Linked DNA regions of Arabidopsis thaliana. The protein of the gene in region 4 interacts with the protein of the main gene of each other region in a pairwise test. Each region holds a gene or a part of one and is shown on either strand. Other genes may lie near its edges. The genes, in order: HB-3, ER, ADT5 and ZR3.

Evidence for each region.
Region 1: the proteins of ZR3 (region 4) and HB-3 interact in a two-hybrid assay, tested with the Arabidopsis thaliana proteins (one large-scale study listed by BioGRID).
Region 2: the proteins of ZR3 (region 4) and ER interact in a two-hybrid assay, tested with the Arabidopsis thaliana proteins (one large-scale study listed by BioGRID).
Region 3: the proteins of ZR3 (region 4) and ADT5 interact in a two-hybrid assay, tested with the Arabidopsis thaliana proteins (one large-scale study listed by BioGRID).

What each region holds. Positions count from the first base shown.
Region 1 is NC_003071.7:14,339,216-14,347,776, reverse strand, and holds HB-3 (homeobox-3), read left to right. Parts: upstream 1-3,998; 5' UTR 3,999-4,179; coding exon 4,180-4,306; intron 4,307-4,391; coding exon 4,392-5,213; intron 5,214-5,522; coding exon 5,523-5,740; 3' UTR 5,741-6,132; coding exon of another isoform or gene 6,133-6,138; 3' UTR 6,139-6,355; downstream 6,356-8,561. UniProt on the Arabidopsis thaliana protein: Homeodomain transcription factor required for meristem growth and early development. Promotes cell proliferation and prevents premature differentiation in meristematic tissues during postembryonic development.
Region 2 is NC_003076.8:3,415,767-3,423,645, reverse strand, and holds ER (enhancer of rudimentary protein), read left to right. Parts: upstream 1-2,953; 5' UTR 2,954-3,089; coding exon 3,090-3,092; intron 3,093-3,345; coding exon 3,346-3,451; intron 3,452-3,894; coding exon 3,895-4,015; intron 4,016-4,649; coding exon 4,650-4,749; 3' UTR 4,750-5,036; downstream 5,037-7,879. Other genes in the region: AT5G10820 (Major facilitator superfamily protein), read left to right, coding at 480-1,139, 1,247-1,351, 1,555-1,725, 2,195-2,770; AT5G10800 (RNA recognition motif (RRM)-containing protein), read left to right, coding at 5,264-5,349, 5,426-5,559, 5,737-5,782, 6,076-6,136, 6,236-6,382, 6,479-6,595, 6,697-6,862, 7,321-7,433 and 2 more. UniProt on the Arabidopsis thaliana protein: May have a role in the cell cycle.
Region 3 is NC_003076.8:7,520,679-7,528,835, forward strand, and holds ADT5 (arogenate dehydratase 5), read left to right. Parts: upstream 1-3,407; 5' UTR 3,408-3,966; coding exon 3,967-5,244; 3' UTR 5,245-5,592; downstream 5,593-8,157. UniProt on the Arabidopsis thaliana protein: Converts the prephenate produced from the shikimate-chorismate pathway into phenylalanine.
Region 4 is NC_003074.8:20,306,328-20,313,833, forward strand, and holds ZR3 (Zim17-type zinc finger protein), read left to right. Parts: upstream 1-3,941; 5' UTR 3,942-4,026; coding exon 4,027-4,195; intron 4,196-4,822; coding exon 4,823-5,325; 3' UTR 5,326-5,527; downstream 5,528-7,506. Other genes in the region: AT3G54830 (Transmembrane amino acid transporter family protein), read right to left, coding at 5,574-5,656, 5,745-5,820, 5,912-5,955, 6,028-6,150, 6,242-6,305, 6,427-6,562, 6,655-6,874, 6,954-7,134 and 1 more.

The DNA.
Region 1 (8,561 bases), on a different chromosome or scaffold from region 4:
TGATTGTAGCATGAGAAGCAAAAGATTGAATCCAGAAGGAAGATGAAAACAAAAATAGAAAACTTTTAAAACTCCATCTTATTTAAAAAATACAACCATTTATCGCTTCAGTACTATTCGGTATGGATCACTCATCCATCACTCCCCCACCTCCAAATAATTGGTCCTAACATCCACAACATATCTATGAGGCAAAGATACATAGTTGACGCTAAAAAAATTAATATCTGAACATTAGAAGAGAGATCTCACAAGTTTTTTTCCGAGTTACTATCCGTTTAAACATCCATATTTCGTACATACGTGTATATATCCTACCATTTAGAAGTGTCAGTGAATCATATGATTAATTTGAAAAAATGTATTTTTATGAGATTCATATGAATACATTTCACACTGTAAAATATTATATTTTATAGTCGAGGTCTATTCTAGTTAGTGTGTAATTTATTTTAATGGTTTCATATATACAAAGCTCTAATCTGATTATAATCTCACTCAAACATATATGCGTGGTGTGAGGGAGAGATATATATTAGTAGGATTTGTGTATCTGAACCCAATTAACAGAACATATCTGAATATTTGTTATCAAAATATTAAGGAAATCATGAAGAGCCATAATTGCTTAAAAAAAACAAAGCAAAAGATAATTGTGGGAAGTGAAAGTGGCAACTTCTCCGCACTTTGTGCTATAAGTGCTAACTTCACATTGTGCCCCATGCTCATTTTTAAACTGTTGCATTCCAACTCTAACTATGAACTTATGTTTTCATTCATGATTCATCATGCGTTAGTTATTTTGTGAAATTTCCTGGCTACAAAGAAAATACAATTATTTTCCAAAATAAAATAGTTGGATGTACTTTGTTGAGCTTTTAAGGTTTTCATTCGCTTGTAGTGGTCCCAATATGTAAAACACATGTCAAAATTGATTGCCGTTTGAACATCCCACTGAAATCTAGGGTTCCTCCATGACGCCAATACTATTTTTCTGATAAAATTGAAAGAAAATATATTGTATACCTAAGCAAACGTATAAATGTACCACAGCATATGAAGAATTCAGAGACTGAGCCTCTGTTATTTATGAAAAGATGGTTAAAGTACAATTCCAATCCAATAGCTTATGAAATGATAGATTTTGAAACTATTTTATTATAACAAGATAAACCTAGATACTCCCAAAAACATATAGGAAAAATTCAGGCTGTATGTTAATCACTTCGACGTTTCTTATAACCAAAAATTAAACGCAGGATATGTTAATTAGTAACTTTTTTTTGGTATGTAGATTGTCATGGAAAAATCTTCTTAATTAGTAAATTAACTTGAAAAACTTATAGTACATCGAATTGTTTGTTGTTGTTTTTTTTTTCAATCAAAACGAATTGTTTATTGTTTCATAAGAATAGATGGAAATATAGATATTTAAATGGTTGCATTGATCGCCATTTTCTGATTCAGCCGAAGTTAAGCTGCAAAGGCCCGAGCACCAAAACAGCCTAAACATATATTTTATATTTTAATTTTAAGAACAAATAAAATACTACTATATCCACATAACTAAAATATCTTTATTTTTTTGCTTAAAAATAAGGCCATAAATTGTTTTGCTTTGGAATCCTTAATAATCTTGGACCAGTCCTTGGAACGAGACTTTGCAATGTTACTTACAGATCTAGTTAACACTGATAACCGCTTGTGTTAAATGGAGATGCCACATTTTGTTTTGATTTATTTGCATCCTATCACAAAGTTATGATTTATAAACTAAGACTGTTTAGCATTGTCCCATAGTCCCATTCAATAGTTAGTCTTTTAAATAAAGCTCACATTTAGTTTTTTTTTTTTGTCTGATAAAAAAGGCTCCATTTAGTTTATATTTGAAATAAATGCAGATGAAAAGAATCTTAATATTTCAAAAGAAACTGAAGAATTATTAATACGTTATTAAAGGGAACGATCATCAACAAAGACCCTCGAGTCAATCCAAAAAAAAATGACCTTAATTTCTTTGCAATTACTATACACCACCACCCATCCTGACCTCTTAAAATTTCGTATTTTCCCCATTAATACATGTTTCTTTTTTCCGTACTATTACATCACAAAACTCCTAAAATCGTGTTTGCTAATTTGATTATGACTATTCCTACGTCCAAACAAACCATTTGCTCCCCATCCGAATTTAAGGCCGATGCCCCGAAGGTGACCGAGAGAATCCTCTTCTGCACAGACTGAAAATCCAGAAACTACATGATTTTATTTTTTTGTAATACAAGCAAATAATAAAAACCCATCTTGTTATAGTTAATAAATAAACATAAAATGTGAGAAAATTTACAATCTTTCTGTCTTGTTTTAATTAATGTTTTTTTTTGAGATGTCAGAGGAGAAAATAATAAAAAGGAGAAAAAATCCTAGTTCAGAACCAAACATGGATCACTTTCAAAGAATCTGTTGTTTCAATTTCTGAAGAAATTTGTGTTCGTACGTTTGAACTGCAGAAGCAGTTTGGAGTTTAATGCAAGAAGTGTAAGGAAGTGAGGCATGGGGTTGCATTAATGATCACTTTGAGTTTCTTCCTGTCTCTTACTGTTTTCTATCTCAGAAATTGATATTAGGAATGTGAATAACAAAACAAACGAATGAAATACCATGCAAACTCTAATATGGATGTAGTAACAGAAAATCTGTATTGCTCTACTAATTAAATTTTTTAATTTAGTAATATGAATTCAGAGTCTATTAGTATAAACCTAAAGTAAACAGAAATTTTTGGAGTGCGCTTCAAATACCCTTGTAAAATTACAGATGACTTTGTATGGCAACTTTTTAAAATTGCTAAAATAATTTCTTATAATAAATATTGAATATTTTTAAATAATTCAGTACCCACTCTATAAATCTATATAACTAGTCTCTCTCTTTTTTTTTTTTTTTGGGCACATATAACTAGTCTCTCTATCAGTTATTTTCATATGGATTTTGGATTTTTTTGTACATATATGAAAAACACAAATGATAAAATTATTTAATGGTATTAAGCATTCGCCACAGGGTATGCTATCAATTTGGTCATTTGTGAGTGAGATTGATATGGTTTGGGGCTAATTCAGTGAAGCTCCTTCGGACTCTCAAAGTGGTTTATTAGACAGTGTGAATGCATGCGGTCTTCTATTTGTTTGCGAGGCTAAAAGAAACGCTCATGATACACAACTAATCAAATGACTGTTGAAGAAATTTAAGATTTCCAAAATTGTCTTCTTCTATTTGTTATTGAAGTATTGGTCAATCCATCAGTGATTTAACGTTATAGCAATATAGGCTACTCGTCGACTAGCACATTTTGACGTACTTAAATACTAACCTTGTCACTCTTTTTTTAATACTGTAATAATGCCTTTTGAATTTCCATTGGTGATATACACATTTTCCCACTAGATGACACTAAAGGGAACTAACCCCTAAAACAGTTTTTATTTTATCATAATTGAACCATGACAAGCAAAACTGGATTCAAATCTAAAATGTCAAAGTGCTCCTCATAATCTATATATAAGCGATCAAAGACCTTCTATAGAATTAATAAATTTACTTTTTAATGCAATTTTTTTTGTTCAAAACTATTTAATGCAAGTATGCAACTAAATCATACTGTTTGACTGAAGTAGTTAATAATAAAACGTAATGAAAACAGTGTTCCTATTTTCTTTTATAACATTTCTGTTAATAGGATTTAGCCTACTTCTCTAATTCATTTGATTCCCTAAACAAGAGAAGTAGTGATAGTTTTTTTTGTCTTTACTAAACATATACACATAATGATATAGATACACATCTATACATCATAGATAGATACATAGATATAGAGAGAAAGAGAAATGGTGTATAGAAATATGGGTGAGACTTTAAATTAAATTTATGTAAAAGAGATGAATGAATATATGAAAACAGGTTGGGTAGGTGAAGAGAGGCTATAAGAGGGAGAGAAAGAGGTCGTAACCCTTTTGCCCTATTCACATTTTTATTTATCTTTCCATTTAGCCATTCTGTTCCCTGTCTCTTCCTCCTCTCTTTTTGACACATCACATCATCATCACATCATCATTCAACATCAATCATCATCATATGCATACACATACATCTGTGTTCTGCGGATCGAGTTAATTAGTTATGGCTTCTTCGAATAGACACTGGCCAAGCATGTTCAAGTCCAAACCTCATCCCCATCAATGGCAACATGACATCAACTCTCCTCTCTTGCCTTCTGCTTCTCACCGATCTTCTCCTTTCTCTTCAGGTCCTTCTACTTCTACATATTTACCAATTCAAAACTAAATTTTGTTTTAAAGAACTCTTATCTGATGAGATTGTGAATTTTTTAGGATGTGAAGTGGAGAGGAGTCCAGAGCCAAAACCAAGATGGAATCCAAAGCCAGAGCAGATTCGGATACTTGAAGCAATCTTTAACTCCGGGATGGTGAATCCTCCAAGAGAGGAGATCAGGAGGATTAGGGCTCAGCTTCAAGAATACGGCCAAGTCGGTGATGCTAACGTCTTCTACTGGTTCCAAAACCGTAAGTCCCGTAGTAAACACAAACTCCGCCTCCTCCACAACCACTCCAAACACTCTCTCCCTCAAACGCAACCGCAGCCGCAGCCGCAACCTTCGGCTTCCTCTTCCTCTTCCTCCTCCTCTTCCTCCTCCAAATCCACCAAACCCCGAAAAAGCAAGAACAAGAACAACACTAATCTCTCTTTGGGTGGTAGTCAAATGATGGGGATGTTTCCACCGGAACCGGCGTTTCTCTTCCCGGTCTCCACTGTCGGAGGGTTTGAAGGTATCACCGTCTCATCCCAATTAGGGTTTCTCTCCGGTGATATGATTGAGCAACAAAAACCGGCTCCAACGTGTACCGGACTCCTGCTGAGTGAGATCATGAACGGTAGTGTGAGTTATGGAACTCATCATCAACAACACTTGAGTGAGAAAGAAGTTGAAGAAATGAGGATGAAGATGTTGCAACAGCCACAGACTCAGATTTGTTACGCTACCACTAATCATCAAATAGCTTCTTACAACAACAACAACAACAACAATAACATCATGCTTCATATTCCTCCCACTACTTCTACTGCCACCACTATTACTACTTCGCATTCTCTCGCTACTGTCCCATCAACTTCGGACCAGCTTCAAGTTCAAGGTAATGTTAATATATAAAGTTATCACCCTTTTTAAGTTATAGATTACTTATATACATGTTGAAATTTTACTCAATCGTAGAGATACATTAATTTTGTGTCAACAATGTAAGGGACACATTGATCCATACAAATCTTTTTTTAAAACCTTCATGTTTAGTAGCCTTTAGATGATTCTTTATTTCTATATACCCTCTCTCTCTTTCTTGAAAATAGATTGTGTGAGCTTTACAATTTTGTTTTATATAGATTGTTATAGTCATTATACTAACATGAAATAATGGGATAACAATGGCTAAATATGGATGCAGCGGACGCACGAATAAGAGTTTTCATCAATGAAATGGAGCTTGAAGTGAGCTCAGGACCGTTCAATGTGAGGGATGCATTTGGGGAAGAGGTTGTTCTGATTAATTCCGCGGGTCAGCCCATTGTCACCGATGAATATGGCGTCGCTCTTCACCCTCTTCAACACGGAGCCTCGTACTATCTGGTTTTGTTTCCTCTCTATTTTCCTTTGTTATACTAATTAAGGTTCCACTATAGCTAGATACTACTCTATCGGTTAAATAAACTATGGTAAAATGAATACTTATTTAATGTCTATATAATTATAGTTTATACATCTATATTAGTACTAGTTTATTTCTTCATTGGGATCTAAAATGGATAAATGCATGCGAGAGACATGTTGTTTGGCTTAGGTCAACAATGTTGACTCAATCTAATTTAATTACACACACACACCTTGCGCTTCTTTAGAGCATTCATTGGGGTTTTTTTTCTTTTTTTGGCCTTCGTGTATTTTGACTTTTGTAGTATAAATTCTAATACTACCATATTTCGGAGGATGTGCCTGCATGTGTGTGTATATAATTGTTTATGTGATTTAATTTCGAGGTCTCTTTTCTGCTTTTGCAGATCTAGTCGTGTGGGAGATTTGAGTTTGAAGAAGAAATTAAGACCTGTCTCTTTCTTTCACCATCTCTCGTACGTAGGCTTAAATGTTAAGATTTTATAAAGTATTGGTTTCAGTTACCTGTTGTGACGGTGTTTATGTATGAGTTTCGGACAACATTCACAAAACTCTCTCGTTAAATTGTTGACCAATAATATATGATGTGTGTTTCATTATTATCTAAAGAAATCTATAATGTTGTTCTGTTTCTTCTTCTTGAAAAATTGATTATATATGTGGAATTGTTAAACAATGCGCTAATATGGGGATGAGTAATGTAGAAGCATCACATCACCCAGTGTGAAAGTGAATTAGGTCATGCGTTATGTTTAGTGTTTAGACTGTGATGTAAGGTTTACATGCGGGAAGTAGGGAACTTTGACTACAGTTCACGTGTGAGGTGATATTTCACTTTAATCCCGGGGATTAAAACGTTACATTAATATAATTATTATACTACACCTAATCCATCCCCTCTTCAGAAATGCATTATTACACTAATATAATTATTAATTATAAATTATAGACGGTTCACTCATTTTTATATAAAAAATCAATAAATAAATATGTACTCTATCAAATATATTACCCTTTAAAATTAAAAATGTATGAAAATTCGATTTCAAAGATGATTTAGTTCTTTTAATATAAAAATGCGTCGAATGATGATAGTACGAAAAAAATAGTTTCAGTTATTTTAGATAAAATTAATTAGTAAATATTGCTTTGAACTACACAATGCATGGAATCAATTAAGTAATTTGTAATGCCAAAAACAAAACAATTCATTTATATTGAAATTATGCTAATTAACAATAGTTGATATTCATAGCCACGTTATGAATTTTTGTATAATCTGAATTCAGAGTTAATATATAATCTGAATATTTTTTCATCAAAAGAAAACAAATTTTTTTTATAAAATAAATAAGTAACGTATCAAAGTTAGGAAACAGAGTTTTTGACAGTCAGTTGATAAGATCCTTTGCTTTGAAGTTTTAACTCTCGATTCGATACTAATATTTTACCTTGTTGCAATGTAATATTTTTTTTCTTTTTCTTGCTGCAATGTTTATGGAGTATTCAAGGGAATTAAAGAGAATAAAACGCTGGTAAATAATTGTAGTTGAATGCAAAGAAGGTCTAGCTAGGTAGGGGCTTTGTTAGATCAAATCAGATGTCAAAAGAGCATAATAAAAATGTAATATCAAATCACACAAATGTTTCTCAATAAAAACATGGTCCTACAGTCCTACTTTCTACTGTTTGACTGTTTCCTTCATCTTGTCGCTTTAACGTTATCTTTACCCATGCTTATATTATTTTCTTTTATCTACAAAACAACATTTAATTTGCACCCATTTCCTTACTAAATATAATTATAATTAAAACTAGAAACCTAAACAATGTTCTCACATAGTTAATTTATCACCGCATTATTATTATTGATCATATAATAACTCATCATTTATAGTTTAGCACAATGCAACATATTACGTCTTAAAAATATGTGAAGTTAAGAATAAGTTATCATTAAGTTTGGACATCTGATTGTCCGTATAGACAACTTGTTGTCACTGTCTACGCTGCCGTGTGCACTTAATAGTTAAAAACCAACAAAATCTATGTATTGTAACAACTGGGGGGTAAAAAGCTATGTATAGTAACATAATAATATCATAACGGAACCAAATCGATATTGTTGTGTTTAAAAAGGAACTATTGGCCTTTTCCCCAATTAAAGTAGAAAATTACGATCGCAGTTTAGAAGTTATCACGAAAACAAATGAGATTAAAGAGTGTAAATAGAAATCTATGAAGTGACAAGAAAGAAAAAATAGAAAGCTAAGAGAAAGAGACAAACAAAAAAATAGGTTCAGAAGAGTGTTGACCAGAGGAACTGTGGATTCACCAACAAGTGGGACAAACTTTCTCTTACGTCCAAAACTGACACAACAGTATATTAACTCTTTCTCCTCATCATGATGAATCATATTCATATGACACTCACTCCATGTTCACTCTCTGCTCTCTCTCAATATATATTTCTTTTTCTATAGCCCAAGATGTTAATATTGATAAACCTATAATGATTTAGATCTCTTGTAATATAAGCGAGATGTTGCGAATGATAAGGATAAGATATATGAATCTACAACTAGATCTCATGTTGCAGTATCTTGTAGCCTTGCCTAGAGTCGTAGGTGAGACTCTAAAGAATTTTATGATTAAGAAAAAACAATTTTTATCATAAACTATACTGTAATAATATGAGGTCCTTTTCATTCAAAGTATATACTGGGATTACTATGTATAAACTTGGACAAGGCCAATATTAACATATCTAGCTTGAGTCTTCAAAAAATAAGAGATTCTTATTTTTCAATTTGTT
Region 2 (7,879 bases), on a different chromosome or scaffold from region 4:
TTTTTAGCTTGTGGGAATCTCAAAGATAATGACCTCCAACGAAGCAGCATATCGCTTTCCTTCTCTATTTTTTAATTGGATTTTGAAGTAATTGTTTAGGTGTTTGTTGATGTTGATTAGGATTTTTGAGTTTCGGTGGGAAGATGAAACATTTGACTTTCTCTTTTTGCTTTCAAGATCTGTCAATCATACTATCGAGTTTGTGAATTTTGGCTAATAAAGCGATTTGGTTTCGTTTTTGTAGAATTTCAGACTGGTAGTTGAAGAAAGACGTCATTGCTTACAAAGTCAACAAGGTAAATGTCATTGTCAAGTGGGAAACTTTATAATATATCTTTTGTTTTTCCTCGTGTGTGAATGTCTAAACCTTTTTGAAAGTCTAAAAGGCATTTCCTTTACATTGAAAATAACGATTAAAGGCTCTTGCTCTCGATATTTTGATTTCAGATCCAATGTTCATCTCCTAAACAGTCAACACCATGGAAACACTAGAAACTGAGAAATTCTTCTCAGACGATAAACCTCTCCTAAAACCAATTTCAGATCATTCTGAGATCAAGACAAAAGCAAGAAGAAACGCTGTCGTCTCAGTTCTAATTCAGCCCTTCCAATGGTTACAAATGCTGAGTTCTAGGCTAAACCTGAGCTTCGTGCTAGGTGTGGTCCTTGTGTACGGTGTAAACCAAGGGTTCTCTGGTTCGATATTCAAAGTCGTCACAGACTATTACTGGAAAGATGTCCAGCAAGTGCAGCCATCGGTTGTGCAGCTTTACATGGGGTTATATTACATTCCATGGGTCATGAGACCCATTTGGGGTCTCTTCACCGATGTGTTCCCTATCAAAGGTTACAAAAGAAAGCCGTATTTTGTAGTTTCTGGTGTTCTTGGTTTGGTATCTGCGATTGCTATTGTTGTTCTTGGTAAGTTGCCCGCTGCTTTGGCTTTGAGCTGCCTCTTAGGTGTCTCTGCAGCTATGGCCATTGCAGATGTGGTGATTGATGCGTGTATAGCAACAAACAGCATCAATATCCGATCTTTGGCTCCTGATATACAGAGCCTTTGTATGGTTTGTTCATCTGCTGGCGCTTTGGTTGGATACGCAACTAGTGGAGTCTTCGTTCACCAGCTTGGACCTCAGGTTGAGCCTTTACACCTTTTTAGTCACGTTTTCAGGACGTGTTCCCTTTAGATATCGAGATTAGAAACTTGAAATCTCGTTTTTCTGTTTTGTTTTTTCTGATATAGGGAGCATTAGGGGTATTAGCATTTTCGCCTGCAACTATCGTCATACTTGGGTTTTTCATCTACGAGAAAAGATCTTCTACTGTTCCTACACAAAAGACCAAAAAGGTGAGGCCTTAGCCTGTAATCTCAACTCCTTTGATCTCTCTCACAAGTGACCAGAATTGGCGTCGCAGCAGAATAATCCAAACAGAAATTTTCCTTGTCTTTATTTGTTTCTGCCGGATTATTGAAAATTCATGCCTCTTGACTTTATCTCATGACTTGGAATCTTGATCGAACTCTTGAGCAATCGTTTGAATTTTCTTCAGGACACAGATGGCTTAGGAGTAGCGGTGAAGGGAATGTGCAAAACAGTAAAGTACCCTGAAGTGTGGAAGCCATCTCTTTACATGTTCATATCCTTAGCTCTCAACATCAGCACTCATGAAGGCCACTTCTACTGGTACACTGATCCTACAGCTGGGCCCGCCTTTTCCCAGGTTGGTTGTACAATCCTGAAGAAGCTCTTTTTAAAGATCTTGATTTAAAGAATAAAGATAGTGGTTAAACAGTTTGGGTCTTATATAGATTGAGTTCATAGGAACCAGTATAGTTACTAAACGACATGGGAAGCTAGCAAAAACAGGTTCCCATGGATCGCAAGCTCAAGATTGACACTGTGGTAGTATGTCATGATATTATGTGAATCATATTTCAGACTGTTTCGCTGGTTTATATTAATCTCCATGGAGTCACTTCTCTTGAAAGCCTATTTTAGCTAGGAAAAATCTTGTCTTTAGGTTTGTGAATATCTGCATGCCTTATGAAATGGTGTTGAAATTATGATTGTGTGGTAGTGTCACATTGACATATAAAGCTATGGAGTTTCTGAACAAGCTAATAAAATTCTTTATCCAATAATGTAATTATGAGCTAGATTCAAACTTGCTTATTTTGGTCTAAATGCAGGAGTTTGTGGGAATAATCTATGCAGTCGGGGCATTGGCATCTATGTTTGGAGTTCTCATATATCACAAGAAGCTCAAAGGCTATTCCTTTAGGAACATACTCTTCTTTGCACAACTTCTATACGTCTTCTCAGGAATGCTTGATCTAGTCTTCATCAAACGCTGGAACTTAACTCTCGGGATACCAGATTCCTTGTTTGTGATAACCGAAGAATCTTTCACGAAGATGATAAGTAAGATCAGGTGGATCCCCATGGTGGTTCTCAGTACAAGGCTTTGTCCTCTGGGAATCGAAGGCACCTTCTTTGCTTTCCTCATGTGCATTGATAGTTTTGGACAGCTTGCTTCTAAATGGGGTGGAGGGTTTGTTCTTCACGCTTTTGGTGTCACGAGACACGATTTCGGAAATCTCTGGCTCGTGATTCTGATAAGGAATATTTTGAGACTCGTCACTGTGTGTTTCGTTTTCCTCGTTCCAGATTCCGATCATTTGGATGATCTTGTACCTTCTGATGTGTTGCCAAAGAAACAATCAGAAGATGATGATGATGACGACATTAAACTTTTGCTTCTGTAAAGCTATTTTGTATAACATGAAACATTTCGAACAGTAAATGCCTAACATGAACAATTTCAAAGAAACAAAATCTACTAATCAGATGGAAACAGCTTGTAGTTTTTTCATATTTTAAAGGAAATACATGCCGTTTTGTCGTACTATATCTGATGTCACATGTTAAGCGACAGAGACCCTATGTTATTTTACGATTTTGCCCTCTTGTTGGGTTATACAGTATTCGTTTTTCTCTCTCAAACAGTGAAACTTCTTCTTCTTCTTCTCGTCTTCGTCGTCTAAACCTCAAACTCTGCTAGCGAAGTCACAATATCACTCGAAGATGGTAATCGATTTCTTCTCCTAACGTTCCTTTTGTGTAGTTTTAGTGATTCCTTAGTCAATCGCGAAGAAATTTGAGCAAATCCTTTTGGTTAGATCGTGTTAGGTTTTCGAATATCGTTCCTTACGCAGTTTGAATCTCAGTTTCTGATGATTTCTCGTTAGTTTACGGAACATAGAGAAGGAAATTCAAACTTGTTTTGATTGTCTCAGTTCTTATAAGCTGACTATTATCAACTTTCTTCTTTGTTGTGTAGGCTAATCACAACAGTAGTAGGCACACAATCATCTTGTTGCAGAATTCTCCGAGCAGAGCTACGAGGACTTTCATGGACTATGACTCTATAGGCCAAGCTATGGATGGTAATTATTAATTTCGAATCATCATTCTCTAACTAGTCTACTCATTGTTGACTTTGGTTATGATTATGTTGAGGTTTATCTTTGTGGCAACAAGATGGATGATTTTGAATTACGACATGTATATTATATAATTCTGTAGCTATTTCTGTGACTTATTAGGAAGTTCAGATTTTAGTACCAGTGCTATAAGCTGATTGATATATAGTGTGTGATGAGTCTGCTCGGTAATAAAGTGGTAATAAAGTGGTTTGTATTTTGATTACTAACTTGTTTGCTCAATAAAGTGGAGGAATTAGCAATGTAGAAGAAATGTAGGTTTCTTAAGTTCATTACCTCTCTTCCGAGTGTTTAAGTGAATTAAGGAAGCTGTTTTTTTGTTTTTGGTTTTGTAGAAGCAATAAGTTTTTAGCTTGCAACGCTGATTTTTTTCTGGTCGTAAACAGGTATTTGCGGCTTATATGAAAGGAAGTTGAAGGAAATTAACCCTTCTCTCAGAAATATTAGCTATGACATTGCTGACCTTTACAATTTTATTGATGGTCTTGCTGACTTGAGCGCTTTGGTGTAAGTCTTGCCCCTTTCTCTTCTCTTAAATGCTTTAGGTCCTTCCAGGTACTGTCAAATTCACATCACCCTTTCACATTTTTACATAAACTAAAAGGAGGATCCACATTGCATCATCTATAAAGAGCATGAATTGTGTTTATTCTTACTCTTTCCCTCTAAATAATAGTATTCTGTTCCCACTCATACCATTCTTTTGAATTCCTGGATGTTTTGGTAGTCGTTAAAAACATTTAGGAATGTTTAAACTCAAAGCTGCAACAGGCACATGCACAGTTGTTCTTTTGCAAAGAAACTTTCTTCAGAAATTCTCTCTTAATATTCGATAAACTGCATATATCTTGTTCTTAACTAGTTCTCCACTTGCAAGTTCACAGTAGATATTATAGAAATCTCTTGCTAGTAATGTTTATAGAGATTAGTAGGATTCCCATGTTGTATAACAAAACTGTCAATGATCATTTAATTGCTAGTTTGCTACTAAGTTCATTGATAGCTTGGTGCTAATTAAACAAGTAAAGAATCATTATTAGTATCATGATTTTCCTAAAAAGATGGTTATTGCGTGTGAATCGTGAAGGGATTTGTCAATGTTCTTATGATTTTCTAACAAAATCCTCTGGTCATTTTGCAGCTATGACCACTCGATAAGTGCATATCTGCCATATGACAGGCAATGGATTAAGCAGAAGGCATTTCACCATCTGAAGAGAATTGCCAATGGAGGCAGATGAAGAAGAAGCATCATATGAAATTGTCTTACCTGAAGAAACATATGTTGAGAGAGGCCATTTAAAGCATCATCACTCGTTATTATATATATTTGCCAATGTAACATTAATTAATATGCATAGAAAGAGTTGTGGTTCTCTTGGATGTGTTAGCCACTAAAAGTATCTTTGCTATCCAAATTTTAAGCTCATTTCTAGTTTCTATATCAAATTCTTCTTCTCAAATTGATGAGATATTTTGAATCGTCCTCGACTAGAAATTATATCATACTTCGTATAAAGTAATCTTTTTGTTAATAAGTAATCTGATGATATAAGATTTGTAAATTTTAAGTGAACAAAAAAAGAGTGTGTATTATTCTCTTTACCAAGAAAAAAACTGGGTTAAGACTGAACTCTGAAGAAGGTATTTTCTGGAGCATTTTAACCTTTATCTCTCAATCTGCGTTGAGACTAGAGACCATTTTGGTGCCGTGCTATTATCGATTGACAAATTTCCGATTCTGAGAAAAGTTGGATGGTGAAAGATGAGTTCTTTCTCGATCACCCTGGAAGAAAACACCGTTCCAGAAACACAGAGAAGAAGAAGAAGCCAAGAAGAAGGTTTGTTTCTTCTTTTCTTAGCTACCAAAATCCTCAATAGCCTCTATTGGTTTGAATAAATTTATGGTAAATGCAGAGAGCGGAGGATGAAACAGCTCGTCTGTATCAAGAGTCCGTGGAATCGTTTCAAGGGGATAATGCTGCAGCTAAGACTTTTGTTAGAGGTGACAATCAATCCCAATGATAATAAGCTCAAGCCTGATTCTCAAGGTTAGTCTCTTGGAAACCCGACATTGCTTCATCTAGTAGAACTGGAGGCTAGTTTTTCTGTGTTTCATTGAATTGTTTTGATCATGTAGATTGGTAGAATTATGTTTCTATTACATTGAGAAACATGTTAATTAAAAAAAGTATGGACGTTTTCTTCTATGCATTCACGGATCACAGGTGAAAAGTCCAGAGATGGGGATTCCATTTCAAAGAAGGGGAGTAGGTATAACTGTGATTGCTTTTGATTAATCAATCTCTGTCATATCTAATTTCTAGTGTAGGCCTCTTTGATGTGTTTGTTACAATGCTAGAGTTAATTCCATTTCTCTTGTGTTTGTGATGTTTTGGAGTACAATAAACTTCTGTCATCTGCACATAGCAGTTAGCTGAGGTTTCCTACTTCATCAGTATAAACTGTGGGTTTTGAGATGTTGTCCATGCGTATGGCTTGATAAGTTAAAACCAATGTCCATGCTCTTGTGATATAGAAGATTGTCTTCCATGTAATTTCTACAGGTATGTTCCCTCCTTTCTCCCCCCACCATTGGCATCTAAGGGTAAAGGACCAGAGAATAAGGTCAGTAGTTAGAGACCATATCAGTATTTTATATTATTCTGGTTCCTGATTTAAAGTAATGGTTTAACTGATTATTAGTACAATTTTTCCTCTTTCTAGAGGGATGAAGAGAGATCAAAGGAGATGGAAAAGGGAAAGACTCGAAACATAGATCATTTTGTGGAGGAGCTCAAGCGTGAACAAGAAATAAGAGAAAGGCGAAACCAGGATCGCGAGAATTCCCGTGACCATAATAGTGATAACACGGTATGTCGTCATAGTCTTTACTTTTAACCAAATACGTACTGTTGTTTATTTAGAGATACGTACTGCTTTCTGGTATTAAGGCTGTACTTCTCTCAGTCATCTAGCCGCTTTGATGAGCTACCTGATTATTTTGATCCCAGTGGAAGGTTAGGGTCATTGGACGATGGTGACCCACAAACTACAAATCTATATGTTGTGAATCTTTCATCTAAGGTTTGTTCTCATCCAACTTAAATACCTGCGTTGTTTTCCATAGCTATATATCATAATTTTCTTCCCTTGCCTAAAACTTTTGTGGTATTGTCTTTTTTTAGGTTGATGAAAATTTTCTTCTGCGGACTTTTGGAAGATTTGGGCCAATAGCTAGTGTTAAAATTATGTGGCCAAGAACAGAGGAGGAGAAAAGGCGAGAAAGGCATTGTGGCTTTGTTGCTTTCATGAATAGAGCCGACGGAGAAGCTGCAAAAGAGAAAATGCAAGGTTAGCTATACCGTTCAGTATGGAACTGTGTATGTTCATGCGAGGTTCTCAACTTAAATACGTTCGCAGTGTACAATATGATAAAAGAGCAAAAGATGAAGATTATTTCTAGATTTGTTTTCTCAGGTTCCTGCATAGCGATAGCATTTTAACTAAAACTTCAGATCAGCATATTTTAGTAGGTTCTTTAGTGCAAAGCCTGACTTTTCTTATAAGAAATTGCTTTAACGTGTTCAGTTGAAGGCATACGTAAAGAGTTCATTGTTTGGTCAGTGTTACTGCTTTTGTTTGGTGCTTCCATTTTTTCTTTCTTCATTTATACAATGTTGAAAACTACTGCCTCCTAACAATATAGAAATTTATTAATATTTGACTATCTGATTTGATAATAAATGTGCTTCCTTGATGCATGTGCTATGATTTGCAAGACACTAAATATTTTTTACTCCATTTCACAGGGATCATTGTGTATGAGTATGAGCTGAAAATTGGATGGGGTAAAGTAGTTTTTCTGCCATCACAAGCACTACCAGCTCCACCTCCTGGGCATATGGCAATCCGGAGTAAGGAGGTCTGTGGCAGTTAGTTGCTCCTTTGAGATTCATTTTATCCCTGAATGTGACTGTTGCGTCGTTTCATTTCAATACATTTAGATTTAGTTCATGACGGCTGCTTTTGTTTATATGCAACTCTAAAAGCTTTCATTTGTTTTAATTGGCAGGGCTGCAATTTAATTTTTTCTGTTACATCGGGTCCACCAATGAATTCCGTTCCAAATCAAAATTCTGAGCTGGTATGCAAACTTCAAACTTGGTCCATATGACTTAACTTTTTATTTAAAAGTTCCATATGATAAGCGCTTCAGTTACCGGATACTGCTTATATGTTATCCTTCATATATGTTAATCTTTAGCACAAGCATTTCTTTGTTAACTTGAATTTCATCTTCAGGTTCTTACCCCAAATGTTCCGGATATCACTGTTATTTCTCCTGAGGACGAGCACCTCAAACAGATT
Region 3 (8,157 bases), on a different chromosome or scaffold from region 4:
GAAATGTTCATAGTTTCATAATCTCATCAAGATTTAAAACTAAATTCTGAACACTTGTTAAAGATTCAGGTAAATTTTGTTGTAATATTGTATGTTTTGTTTCTTGAATTTTGGTTAGATCACCCCTTTCTGAATTTGTACGATCATTTATCAAACGCAATTAAACATATTCGTTTGGCATTTATTGTCGATTGCAACCAAAAGCTGATCTTGCATATTAGTTTTGTTCGTTTTGTACTTCTTGTTATATGTTGTCAGATTTTAAATGGGTTGACATGAAAATTTTGGTCACAGACTCGTACAATTTATCGACACATATAAACAACATTTAATTGTGGTTGATGGAAACGAACATGTCTATTATCATTTTTCGATAAAGTACCACTCAGTATAAAAATATTATCATTTGTGGTGAGGACAAAAAACTAAAACATAAAAACCACAATTTTCCTTGACCAACAAACAAAAACCCCCACAAATGGTAATACAATTTTACCTTTTTACGTATTACGAAACGAAGCTTACCATCAGAGACTCTTGTAGCCAAAAGAGAAGCAAACGAGATAATTGAAAATAACAAGGTTCACGTGCCGTATTAGTGGGACTTGGTTACTTTATTCACATTTTGCAAAGACGTAGAACCTTCAATACTAACGTGAACATGTAACACGTGCATCTTCTAAGTTAATATGAAGTCAATTTTGTCAACAAGAAATAAAGTCAATAGTACAAATATTTTTATAATCCATTTTCACTGGTTTGGTCTCGGTTTGATTTGTTTAGGTTTGGAAATATTCTTACCAATCTAAGTAATTAACTATGACTTTATTTTTCCTATCGTACTTTGGTACTCTTTGGGTTGGTCTGTGGTGAAAAAAAACTATCAACTATAGACTTAGAAAAAGAATTGTAGAAAAATGTTAATTCTTTTCAAGATAAAATGAGTTGTTTTGGTTTGAAACAAAAGCGAACCTAAACCTGGTGGTAAGAGAAAAGCACTACCGAAAATTTGAAATCGAACCCCTTAATTAGTTCTTCCATTTTAGAGATTTCCATATACGTTAATCATATGCTACAAATGGTTGAATTTCTTATAATTTTATTTTATAAAATTGAACGATATATCTTATCCATTAATCAAAGTTAAAATCCCACCAAATCTTTTTTGTTTTCTCAGATCATCGTGCGCACTGCGCATGCTAGCTATGTTAACGTTAGGAAAACAAATTGTACGTAAAGGTTTGAGAAACAATTGATCTGATAGGTGAATTTAGACAAACATGCCATTCTCTTTTCGATATGGCATGAAACTGGTAGAAAGAAATTTGCCATTTTTTAGTTATGTATTTTTTCGCATATTCCTACCATTTTGCTAATTAAAGGTGTAATTTAGAACGAGATATAGGTCATGATAAAAAAAAAAGGTAAAAATAAAGTCGCTAATCATATTTGACAACAAAGTTAAAAAAAGATTTTCAAACGTTAATCAAGAGTCAAGACAGATGAAAAGAAATGTAGAAAGGATCAATTCAGCATGCTTAGGTGCAATGTTAGATAGTCCCACTTGGGTTTCACCAACTTTGCCATATTAAACCTTTACAAGTTTATGAATTAAAAAAGGTTTCAACAACCCCATCGATAAATCTTTTACGGCCAACAATTGCTTGTTGATTGTTTACTTATGTTATAAAACGATATTATTTTCAATATATTATGAATATGTGTTTTCTTTTTTCAAAACGAAGAAAATAAACTAGAAATATTTATATTAGAAGCTGGGCTTCACTTTTGAGACCTGAGGTCACACCTATATATCTTTAACTTTAACGAGAAGAAACATATATATGACACACGAATTACATAATCGTGGCATATTGGAGCTGTTGTTACTTGTTAAGTTGTCAGTGATTCTTTTATTTCCTGCATTCTAATAATTTATTATACATAATATTTCGGTATAATTTAGTACATAAACTTATATTAGCGTCATAATTTTTTAGTATAAATTAGTATGTAAACTTTTTGTTAGCATCACTGCATCACATGAGAATCTCTTTTTCTCATTGATAAATGGCTTAATCAATGGGTTAAAAAGTAGGGTATGCAATCAATATACATTCTATTAGAGTTAGAGATATAGATTATATATATCTTAGGATAATCTACATCCACAAATATGTCTCACTAGATTTTTGTATGTCTTATGTGTTGTCATATGATAAAACACTAAATTAGATGTATTACCTACATATATGTCTCTCTAGTTCTTTGTGTGTATGTGGTTGTTCGAGTTGGGCCACTGTACTAGGTTTCCTTCAATGGTGCAGATCGATCAGGTTTGTTCGAGTGGGTTGCTGTACTAGGTTTCCTTCAATGGTGCAAATCAGGTTTATTCTGATTTCTGAGGCTAGTATAATCTAGCTTCTTAAGGAAAAACCCACTTTATGTTTTAAATTTTTTTGAGCCATACAATTATTTATTTATTGTTAGGCGACTAATTAATTATTGATTAATGTATGAAGATAAACAAAAAAGGTATATAAGAGCATATATTTTAAAGATATTAAGGATATAGATCGATCACTCTCATAATCTTAATTATGTATATAAAGATTTATTTTTAAAACACCCAAAATTGAAAATTGAAAGTCTGCATCCACATAAACTTAAAACTAAAGAAAGGTTGGTTTGAAAGATCAAATCAGGTGAACCAGGTCTCATTGTATAGGCTTATGGTTTAGATTATTGTTCGGAGTGAAAATAATATGGTATATATATATATGGTTTAATTATTGTTGGGTTTAAAATAAATAATTAACTAGTTTGACTACCATAAATAATATGTGATATATTTATCAATTTATATTAAGTATTTTATACAAGAGAATACATCTAAATTTTAAAATGAAAAAAAATAATATACGAATGTAAATATCCAAATTTAGGGAGCGATATGGATTGGACCATGTTCCATGGATACCTTTGCACATATAGTTCGTCTTCTAACTTTTAAAATTATATTATTTTATCATTTGAAAAGGTTATTATAGTTTTTTTGGGTTATTATATCAAAATGACAACTTATGCTAAATGTTTCTTCTTACTATTTTCATTCTAGGAATTTTTTACAATCATTATCCAGTACTAGACTCATATCCCATGCATGAATTTTATTCGGTAATTATTTACAATGTGTAGATAGAGAAACAATAATAATGGGGATCAACAATTTGACTATATGATAAAAATCGATCTTTGTCTTCATTCAAAAGAAAAACCTTAACCAATAAATAACCACCACATAGTTACTTGATACTAAATTACTAATCCACATATTCATACACATGGTCTCTTTTTTTAATATGGTTCTTTTAGTTACCTTGTTTAGTAATCTAGTTTTAAGGATAAAATTTAGAAAATCAAAATAGAAACTTGAAAACATAGCAAAATCTCGAAAGAACGTTAGCATTCGATTATGAGACCACATATGCAAAGCTGCCACGTATGGTCCATTTATCCATAAATCTGCTAATGACATTATCTTATTATGAAAAAAGATCTTTACTCACAATTAGCAGCAATAAATCTTTAAAAGGCCTCCACTGATTAACACGTACCGAGAAATTCACCATTTTTTTCCTAACAAAGCAAAGTGAACATATTCAAATAAAAACAACTTTATAATATAAACAACAAATATCGTTCAGGAAAATCAAATGAAATGTGGTAGGTGAAGGATTTGACGGAACTACCCTTCAAGACACGTCAAGACTTTCTTTCTTTTACAACATTCCACTATATAAACACTTCCTTCTCCACCATCATCTCTCAGCTTGCAAGTTCTCTCTGAACCATAGAACTCCAAGCTTGAACTGTACTCTACTCGTCGTTTATATCTTACTCTTTTGTTTCCTCTTACCAGAAAAAATAAATAAACAGCAATTTTTTCATTTTTCGACTCAAATCATGCAAACCATTTCGCCTGCGTTCTCGTGCGATCTCAAATCCGTAATTCAACCGAATCTAACGGCTAAGAAAGCGCGTTACTCTCACGTAAATGGAAAGCGCGTGTCTGTTCGTTGCAGTTACAGGTCTGAGTCGTTTAGCTTCCCTAACGGTGTTGGCTCAAGCCGAGCCGATTGGCAAAGCTCATGCGCCATCTTAGCCAGTAAAGTAGTTTCGGCTGAGAATTCAAGCTCCGTCGCCGTCGTTAACGGACACAGTAACGGCTCCGTTGATTTAAGCCTTGTTCCGTCAAAGTCGCAGCACAACGGAAAGCCTGGATTGATTCAGCCGTTAACGATAACAGATCTATCTCCCGCGCCGTCTCATGGATCTACTCTTCGTGTCGCGTATCAAGGAGTTCCGGGAGCGTACTCCGAAGCGGCCGCCGGAAAAGCTTACCCAAACTCCGAAGCTATTCCTTGTGATCAATTCGACGTTGCGTTTCAGGCGGTGGAGCTTTGGATCGCCGATCGTGCTGTTCTCCCAGTTGAGAACTCTCTCGGTGGTTCGATTCATAGAAATTACGATCTTCTCCTCCGTCACCGTCTCCACATCGTCGGAGAAGTTCAGATCCCGGTTCACCACTGTCTCTTAGCTCTTCCCGGAGTTCGTACGGATTGCATCACGCGAGTGATTTCGCATCCTCAAGCTCTGGCTCAGACGGAAGGATCGCTCAACAAACTCACTCCAAAAGCAGCGATTGAAGCGTTTCACGACACAGCCGCGGCGGCGGAATACATCGCTGCTAACAACCTCCACGACACGGCGGCGGTAGCGAGCGCAAGAGCAGCTGAGCTCTACGGACTTCAGATTCTCGCCGACGGGATCCAAGACGACGCAGGAAACGTCACGCGCTTCCTTATGTTGGCGCGTGATCCGATCATTCCCCGTACCGATCGTCCGTTTAAAACGAGTATCGTTTTCGCAGCTCAAGAACATAAAGGAACTAGCGTTTTATTCAAAGTGCTTTCCGCGTTTGCGTTTCGAAACATTAGTTTGACGAAAATCGAATCGCGGCCGCATCAGAATTGTCCCGTTAGAGTCGTAGGCGACGAAAACGTTGGAACATCGAAGCACTTTGAGTACACATTCTACGTCGACTTCGAAGCGTCGATGGCGGAGGCGCGTGCACAAAACGCGTTAGCGGAGGTGCAAGAGTACACGTCATTCCTCAGGGTGCTGGGAAGTTACCCAATGGATATGACGCCATGGTCCACGTTACCTAGCGAAGACGTATGACACAATTAAAAAATTTATCTGAATTTTAAATAACATTATGGTAAAATTATCATAAGTAAAATACATGGAAACTAAAGTAGAATTTGTAGAACTCGTTTTGCATGTGAAGTGGGAGGATAATATTATTTTATTTCTCTTAAACCAAATATTTTGTGTGTATGTATTTGCTACTATTGGAACAAGACCGGTTTGTAGTTTGGTTCTGATGATTACAATTGAAGATATTTCTTAAGCTAAGCACATTTTAATTCTCATATTTTTTTCGTAGTAAAAATTAGAGAACCTAATATATACCTTAATTTGTAACGGAATTTGTTATAGCAGAATCATTAACAATAATCTTTGAAGCTATGCTCTAAGACTCCCCACGTACGTTAACCAACAGAACAAGAAAGACTTTCAGATTCTAAACTATAAAGTTATTAAATTACAAGTTATATTACAAAAGTCGAAATTAATGTGTGAACACGAGTTCGGTTTGATGTTTCTTGCTTTGAAACAAAAGTATAATCATCCATCTGGTCGTGTATATACGTACTATGCCAACTTCCATGAATTTTCACTGATTAGTTTATTAAAGTTCTCAACTATCTTCAGGAAATTCAGTTCGAGTTGCTAAAGAATTGGGCATATAATTTCCACGAAACTTTGCATTTGATAGATAATTTAACATGACTTGACTATTTATACTAGATATGTGTAATTTCCCACCTATCTTTTAGGGTCTAAACATTTTTGCATGCCAAAAGAGTTAGGTGTGGTGGAAGCTACCATATGCTCTTAACATCCATCTTCTAGAATTATAATCTTCGATTGTAAGCCTGAACATTTTCATTTTTATGAGATATTTAAATTTTTAGCAAAACAAAAAATTGGCATATGAGTTTCTTTGTACATGTTTCTTAAGCTGTACTTTTAAAGTTGTAGACAATGTTACAATATTTCATGTACAGTTTCTTTATCTTCATGCCGTGGAGTTATGTTTTTACTTTTTAGGTTGTGCAACACTGAAAAATAAGGGTTCTAATATAAATGGATTCATATTTTAAAATCAATTTTTGTAGCATGTAGAGCGGTAAGAACTATTAATCAAGCTCAAAATTATGAAAATTTGTATTTGCTGCAATGTTGAAAATATGATCATCATATTAAAATATTATTATTAAGAGGTTCTTATTAATTCACATTTCCACAAGTAATGTTTATTGTTTTGGCACAATGGTGTCAGATCTTGCGTGGTGTCCTGGTGTCCTAATATCGTACATGTATAAACTATAAAAGTCTTCCACCGTACTAATTAATTAATGTTTAACTTGTTAATGAGAAGACAAAGTTGCCAACTAAAAGGTAACCAATAACTAATTTAAAAGAGAGTAGTCTTGGTCATAAGTCATAACTCATAAAAATGAAGATCACGAACTGATTTGAGCATTTAGTGGGTCCTTGATGGTTATCATCGAGATGAAGTGAATCTTGTCATGGCGGGTTATTATACTCATAAACACTAATGATATATTTGAAATAGTAGTTAAATTACATTTCATGAGGGACAAATATGATGACGGTATAATTATGTCAATTGACCGTAAAGAGTTTGGTGGCAGATAGAACTGGTCGGAAATCTAACATACCAAAGGATTATTACAACCTCGTCATGTTTTTGTTACAACCTTTTAATTAATGTTCTTAGTTTATACCCTAAGTTATTACAACCTCGTCATGTTTTTAGTGGTCGTATAGACTTTGTTCTTAGCATTTTAGGTTTCATATTAGTTTGATGTAAGCTTGCATTATCATTTCTCAACTACAACTCGAAATTAGATCTAGTTACATTGGGGAAACAAAATTCTACCTGTAAATTATTTAAACCTATTCTTGGATTTTGACGAAACCAGCATTAATGTTGTCGTCTCTTAAGATATTAGAAATAGGATTAAACACTTCCATCGTCATATTGTTTGAAAGCAACTTGATAATGATCACAGACAAAGATGATTAAAAACACTTACATTATCACATATACTAAATTGATGTTATTATAATTAATTATAGAAGGGTTGATTAATTAAGAGAAATGGCGAAATCAGGAGTGGGGTGGTAGGTGGGAGAAAGAGAGGTCGAGCACACTGTGGTAGTTGGTGAGTGTGTGGGGGAGCCTTGTACTTAGGTTTTGCCGACTTCTTTAGATTCCGGTTAAGCTTTTGGTTTTGGTTCCGGTTTAAGTTAGAGATCTTAAATTAGTGATTATACAAGAAATCTCATGTAGTAATATTATTCTATTTGTGGTCCAAGATATGGCATAAGATTTAACGAAAGAATTGAATGTTATAATGTGTTGCAAGTAGAAGCTTTTTACGCTTTTAATTAATGTTCTTAGTTTATACCCTAAAGTTATGAAGACAAATAGCAGCCTAGCCCTCGATGGCTCGATCAATTTTTATCTTATATTTCTCATTGTTCATTGTTATTCCGTTATATTTCTAGTATCGCGAAACTGGTTTCAGGTGACAAATTGAAAGTCAAGTGATCAATGAAGAAATATTTGGCTTCAATATGTATTTTCTACGATTTTATTTTCTTAAGATGTAGCTTATCTAACTACTGCAGAAAAATGTATACACGTAAATCATGTGATGAGCTTTGTTTTCAACGTGAAATATCTCGTTCCAAAAAATAAGAATTTTATTTTTCCATTATGTTGTAGTTGTTTTCAGACAGCATTTTCCACTCCACTTAAAGAGTTCTCGAACTTATTCAATGATTGGTCATGTGAGGCTGTGGCATATGGTGATTGACCAATTAATTTAAGCAGTCAGGTCAAGTAAAATAAGTAAATTAAGCACTCCTAAACACACTAATATTGAATCATTTGCGTTAGTTTTTGTCGTAAATTGTGTACATTTAAAATATGTT
Region 4 (7,506 bases):
CATCAATAAAATCCATAGATATGTCAGACCAAATCGCATTAGGAATAGGTAATGGCTGAAGCAAACCCGGAGATGCTGTAGTATCATACTTACACTGCTGGCACACAGAACAGCTCCGGATGTAAGCTTGAATATCTTTAGACATCCCCTTCCAATAAAACAGACTCTTCACACGCTGATGGGTAGCATCACGACCTGAGTGGCCCCCCACACCTGAACAATGTAACCATCCCAAAATAGAATCTTTCAAAGCTACAACATTTGGTACAACCAGCTTGTTCTTACGGTGCAACAACCCTTGTGACCAACTCATCTTCTTTATCGAATCTGCACTTCTCTGAAGAGCTTCAATCTGTTTCTGAACCACAGCATCAGAAGCATACCCATCTTTGAGCCTCTGAAGCAGATCACACTCCAATACTGACAATGCCATATGCAAAATCTCAGAACCTTCAACCCGTGACAACGCGTCGGCCACCAAATTCTCCTTACCCTCCTTGTATTGGATCTCATAGTCAAATTCCAAAAGTTTTGGAAGCCACTGCTGCTGAATGGGTGTATTAAGACGCTGCTCCAGTAAATACTTCAAACTTCTTTGATCTGTTATGATCACAAAATGGTCATGTAACAAATAGTGCCTCCATTTCTGAATGGCAAAGACCACTGCCAAAAGCTCCTTCTCATAGATCGATAGGTGAAGTTGTTTGCCTTGTAAATGCCTGCTAATATAAGCCAGTGGATGGCCATTCTGCATCAAAAAGGCACTGATACCCTGACCACAAACATCTGTTTCAACTACAAAGGGTTGATCAAAACGGGGCAAAGCTAATACTGGGGTTGTACACAATGCATGTTTCAGATTCTAAAACGCCACAGTAGCATCGGGAGACCACAAAAATGCATCCTTCTTCGTTAGCAAGGTTAATGGTCTGGCAATAGCTCCAAAATTCTTAACAAAACGGCGGTAATAATTAGCCAAGCCCAGAAAACCCCGTAATTGCTTCAAATTAGTAGGTGCAGGCCATTCCTTCACAGCTAAAACTTTTGATGGATCGGTAGACAGTCCGTCTCTGTCAATAAAATGACCCAAGTACTCGACTCTTGATGTTGCAAACGCACAGTTACTCCGTTTGGCAAATAATTTATGCTCCCTCATTACTTCCAATACCAGTTTTAAGTGCTGCAAATGCTCCTTCTTTGATTTGCTATAGATAAGGATATCATCAAAAAACACCAAGACAAACTTCCTTAGAAACTTTTGAAACACTGAATTCATCAACCCTTGAAAAGTAGCTAGTGCATTGGTCAATCCAAAGGGCATCACCAAATACTCGAAATGACCACTATGAGTCTTGAAAGCAGTCTTGGGAATATCCTTCTCCACCATTCTCACTTGATGATAACCCGCTCTTAGATCAAACTTCGAGAAGATCACTGCCCCACCCAACTCATCCATAAGATCTTCAATAAGAGGAATAGGGAAACAATTCTTCACTGTAATTCCATTCACCTTTCGGTAGTCCACACACAATCTCCAAGAGCCGTCTTTCTTCTTCACTAAAACCACAGGGGAGGCAAATGAACTTGAACTAGGCTGGATGATACCGCTCTCTAACATATCTTTGACAATCTTATCAATCTCATCTTTTTGATGATTAGCATAACGATATGGTCGCATGTTCACCGGATTAGTGCCCTCAATCAAAGGAATTGGATGATCATGATGTGTCCGAGAAGGAGGCAGCCCTTTAGGTTCAGCAAACACATCCTTATACTCATCAAGTAATTGAGAAATAGCAGAAGTAGTACTTGGTGGTGACACCTCTGTTGTTAAAGAAGACAACTGCAACACCTCTCCCTCATCCTCATCAGCGTCTGCAACACACAACATAGACAGCTGAACTTCGGAGTCTCTCAGTTTGTTCAATTTGTCAGCCTTGATAGCACGCACCGACGAAGGCTGAATACCATGTATCATCACCCGTTTCTTATCCCATTTAAACTGCATTGTCAACAATGTGAAATCCCATGTAATAGGACCTAGAGGTTTCAACCAATGTACACCCAAAACTGCATCAATTCCTTTCAAAGGAATTACCATAAAGTCAGCTACAAAAGTCGTGTTATGAATCTCCCACTTAAAATTCTGTATTCTCGCTATCACCTTCAGATTGTAACCATCAGCCACCCGTACTCTTGCATTATCACTAGGTAGGAGTGAGCAACCCAACTTCTTTGCCATTTGAGGATCCATAAAATTGTGAGTGGAACCCGAATCAACCAACATAAAAATGGATCTCTTCTGACTTGTACCCTTAACTCGCATAGTGTTGTAAGTTGAGATACCCTCCATAGCATGAGTTGAGATATGAGCTACTTCCCCAACTAACTCCTTATGCTCTTCTTCTGCATCCAAGAACACTTCCTCAGCATCTTCCATTTCCAAAACAAACAATTGTGTTTTCTTGTGAATCTTATAATGTTCAGATGTGTATTGTTCATCACAAAAATAACACAATCCTTTAGCTCTCCTAGCACTCATCTCTTCAGTAGATAAGAACCGCCTTGGCTGATTTTGTTGTGTGTCTCTTGGTTTTTCCTGAAACGCTGGTTTATTGCCCTGCTGCTCCATGTCTTTCTTAAAGGAGAACTGGCCCTTTGAAGTAGCCTTATTGTTCTTCCAAGAAGTCGCATTGTTCTGCACAGGATGAGCAGTTTCATAGAGACGTCCCAACATCAAACACTGCCGCACCGTTTGGGGTTGAAACATTCGGATATGCATCTGTGTCTCAATCCTTAACCCAACCAAATACGCACTCACTAAATAATCCTCCGTCATCCTTACTCGAGTCCGGATCGCCTCAAACTTTGCGTGATAGTCATCAATGCTAGCAGCTGTTTCCTGCAACTTCTTCAGCTCAGCAATAGGATCCTCTCCAACCATCTCAAACCTCTCCCTGATCCTAGCTTTGTACACACCCCACTCAGGAACCTGCACTTCATCCTCAATCATATTCTGGTGCCAAGTAGCAGCCAGACCATCCAAATGAATAGAAACTACAGACACTCGCATCTCTTCAGGTATAGGATCCACCGCAAAAAATTGATCAACCTTAAACAACCATTCCTTAACCTTCTCACCACTGAATCTGGGAAAATCCAACTTCCCTAACCTTGTTACTCCCGAATGATTGTTAGCGTGACCTTGCCTTCTCATGTAATCCACGTCTGTTGCTGAAGCGGATGAAGCACGAGCTGTTTGATGAGTCTCACCCAGATTTGACTGCTTAGATGGAGACAGCATGTGGATCGCCTCAAACATCTCCGAGATATGGCGCTCGATCTTCAGATTTTGAGCATCGATCTTGCTCTCGATCTTCTCCATCTGTGACTCCATCGATTCCTCTGCTTCTAACGCCTTCTCTCGACGAGCTTGAGCTAACTCCTGAGCTCGAGTCTCGATCACCATCTCCGAGAAACGTCTTTGCTCTGATACCTTTAATACAGTAAAACCACACCACAACACAATCAATCAACCAAAGCAATCATCAACAACTCCGATTACTTATTATTACGATGTAAATAACAAATGAAATCCAATGTTCATAAAACAAGGGATTTCTGGATTCACCTCGCAAGAATCGACGTTCTATGCAGAGGATGAATCTCGGAATGTTTTCAGAGAGAAAGGAATAACAACAACTTCAACGATAACATGAAAATACGATGACACTTGATATTTATTAGCTTCAGCTCTACGCACACTTAATTTGAATCACAGCCGTCCATTGATCTTCTAATCACAGCCGTCCACGTGGCCTTACTCAATATCCTGTATCACACACATTATTCTCCTGCTTGTTCTGATTTTTTTTTTCTTTTTTCTTTTCTAGATAAGATTTCAATTCACAAATTTCTTTTTCCTCACGTAAAAAAAAGAAGAAAAAGGTCGGTCTACTTGTGGCTCACTCAGTGGTTCGAACCTGGGTTTAGATTTTGACTTGACCATAACGAAAACTAACTCTAATGATTAAAAAGGCTTCTTTTATTGTGCTCCGATTCCAAAATTTCACGGAAAATAGAAGCGTCGAGTTCCTCCTCTCCCTCAGGTTGTCAATGGCCGCTAGGTTACTTGCTTTGAGACGCGCTTTGTCTCTTTTCAGCAACCAACAACATCGTTTTCCTTTGTCTCAAGGTTTCATCTCTCTCCTTCTCAACTTTGTCATCTTTAAGAAAAATTAAAGAGTTATTGAAAATCGGGCACTAGAGTTAAACTGGTCTCTTAATCTGTGTAATTTATACTTGCCTTGATGTTTCTTTTGATGAATTTGGTTGAGATTCATGTAAATTTGTGGTTTTTATGTTTGAATTTACACTAGAAGAGGATTTTGGGGAGATTTTGGTTTTAGGGTTGTTTTTGTAGCTTTTAGAGATTTGGGGCATTAGTGATGATGAGTACTCGTATTCTCATGTGTATATCATCTAATATCGTCTTTGCTCTGTTACATTTTGGAGTTAGAGAAGTGCTTCTACGAAACCTGAAGTTATGAATGCTCACATAAGTGCTTTGTCTTCAACATATCTCTATGCATTAAGCAGTAGCTGTGAACATTGGCATTTCAGCTAGACGCTGGTTAAGTTTTCAAGTTTGGTTATATATTTCCTGACTAAGATGTGTTAGCATTAGTCTACGGTTTGATGCAAACATTATCCTAGGAGGTTCCTATGATGTCCTGTTATGGTACAGACTGTTTTAGCTTCGTGCAACTACAACTACTGTTAAATTGATCTTTCTTGATTATCTTTTTTTTTTTGAAAATAGTCTCAACAGAGCAGTTGTCGCTATCAAACTCACTCTTCAGCAGAAGTCATGTTTATGGAAGATTATTTCAGAGACAGTTATCTGTAATCCGTGAGGCAAATGAAGCTTCTGTAACCAATGTCTGCAACTCGTCAAACTCTGCTACTGAATCGGCCAAAGTTCCCTCCCCTGCGACGCCCTCTGAGGAAATGATGGTGAAGTACAAGTCCCAGTTAAAAATAAACCCGAGGCATGACTTCATGATGGTCTTCACTTGCAAGGTCTGTGATACAAGATCTATGAAGATGGCGAGCCGAGAATCATATGAAAACGGCGTTGTGGTGGTACGATGTGGAGGGTGTGATAATCTACATTTGATTGCAGACCGTCGTGGTTGGTTTGGAGAACCAGGAAGCGTGGAGGACTTCCTTGCTTCTCAAGGGGAAGAATTCAAGAAAGGATCCATGGATTCTCTTAACCTAACTCCTGAAGATTTAGCTGGAGGAAAGATTTCTACTGAATAAGGAGTGATCTTCTTTGCTTTTGCTACTTAACCATTATGGAACAGAACTTCACCTTATGTTCCAGTATTATAATTGTTTCTTGTAGTTCACTGTTTGGTAACATTTAAATGCAGAAGATGTTTAATACAATTATGTGTTTGGAATGTTCCATATAGGTTGAGATGTTCCATTGATTTAAGACAGAAACAAAATCTCAAGAGAAACAAAATAAGAATCTCAAGATTGATCAGTTTTAGGTGTTCAACTTCTCAATGATCTTTGCAAGGGCTGAATATGTGCCAATGACTGAACATACTGCTCCTACTGTCATAATTAAGATACAGATTGTCACCTGCAAACAAACCACAGATTGTTATATCGATTTCAGTTTGAGGAATTTCGATATTCGGTTTGGTTATCAGTAAGTGAGCAGGCCATACCTGAGTAGGGGTTACTTTTTTCCTTAAGATGCTCAAGAAACAAGCTGGCGGTAGTATCAGCGTCTGTGTCCAGAAACTTTGTCAGGCTAAGCAAATTCACTATGAAACTGCAATATGAGAATTTGCTTTACATAACCAGAAAAGGATGAAACAAATGTGTAACTTACAATGAGCATTGTCAAGAATGATCCAATCAGTGACATGACAAGGCCTGCAAGAATTCTGAGTGTCAAAAGAAGTGACACTTATTTTCTTTACATGTATATTTTTCGTTTGTCCTTACCGAAGAAGGGAATCGCAAGACCAACGAGCAGAGTAGAGATGGCTAATGCACTTCTAATGGCGATTGCGTAGAAACGTGACTTCCCATAGTTTGATGGTATTAACTCCTCAAGACTCATTGCAACTGGAGATAATGTCAAAGCATATGTGCTTTCTTTCTATTAAGGCCACACAATTTTCAGTTTATATTATGAATAAGCTTATGACAAAATTACAGAGATAAATGAAAAGTCTCTGAATATTTCTTGATAAAGGATATTTGGTAAATGGATTAACAACCTGCAAAAAAGGCAAGGAAAAAAACTCTTAGATGACCTCACCTGGCTAGCTACCAAATTTAGTGAAAATCATCCCAACTTTCATGTAATAAGCAGAGGAAGGGTGAAAAAAAAAAACTTACTGTAGTCCACAAAGCAATCTTAGATGCAACCAAATCTTGAGGCAAGTTAAGAGTAAACTGTGATTCTGTTGATTCTCCAAACATGCTATATCCCATAACAGCAACACCCGCATACATAAGAGTACAAATTCCAAAACTGTGAAAAAAAAATAAAAATTGATACTGTCAGTAAAAGATAGAAATGTAGAGAGTTCCTAAGATGTGTAATGTCTTTATATTTAAGCTTACGATGCCAAGAGAACAGCAGAAAATTGAGATGGTTTGGCCATTGAAGTGTAAATATTAGGGAAAACACCATGTCCTGAGTAACAATAACCATAGAGTCCTACAGAAACCGGTAATGTTGCGAGGTTTAGTGGAGTTCCTTTGCTGTGAATACCAACATCATCAACCAAACCAACCCAAAACAAGCACAAAACCACCAACACTGATGCAATCACCCCTCCAGCTGCAAGATCAAGGTTAAGATATTCACATATATGAAAAAAGAATCTTTAAAAGGTCCTTTTAGATTGAATGTTTTATACCTGAAATGTAACTTAGTACGCTGAGATCTCGAAGCCAAACGGTTGGGAGAACAGCGAGGGTGGTAAGCAGAGCAAATAGACGAGGCGCATCTAAGTGAAACCCTCCAATACTTAGACTAGCATTTGGAAACATTGATGAAAGATTATCACCTTCCAATATTATGTATTCAACACTCATAGCCTGCATGCAAAATGAACTTGTGTCAAACTTTGTGTAACTTTACCATAACTTGTATCAAACTTTGTGTAACTTTACCATATCATAGGAACATTCAGAATTTCTCTCTAGACAAATATTTCAATGTGTAGTTGATGAATTTCAACATTTTCTTATACTAAAAACCAAATATTTCATTTATGAAACAAGAGAGAGGGAAACAATATGGACCGTGGGCAAAGGTGTTGTCTACTCCACATGTGGTCCATTGTTTTGACTTGAGATTCATTTTAGGTACTTATTTTGAAACTTTCAAAAATGTATTTTGTCTTTATCTATATAATATAACGAAAATTATTGGAGGAATTGCAAGTTGTTCTTACATATAACTCCATA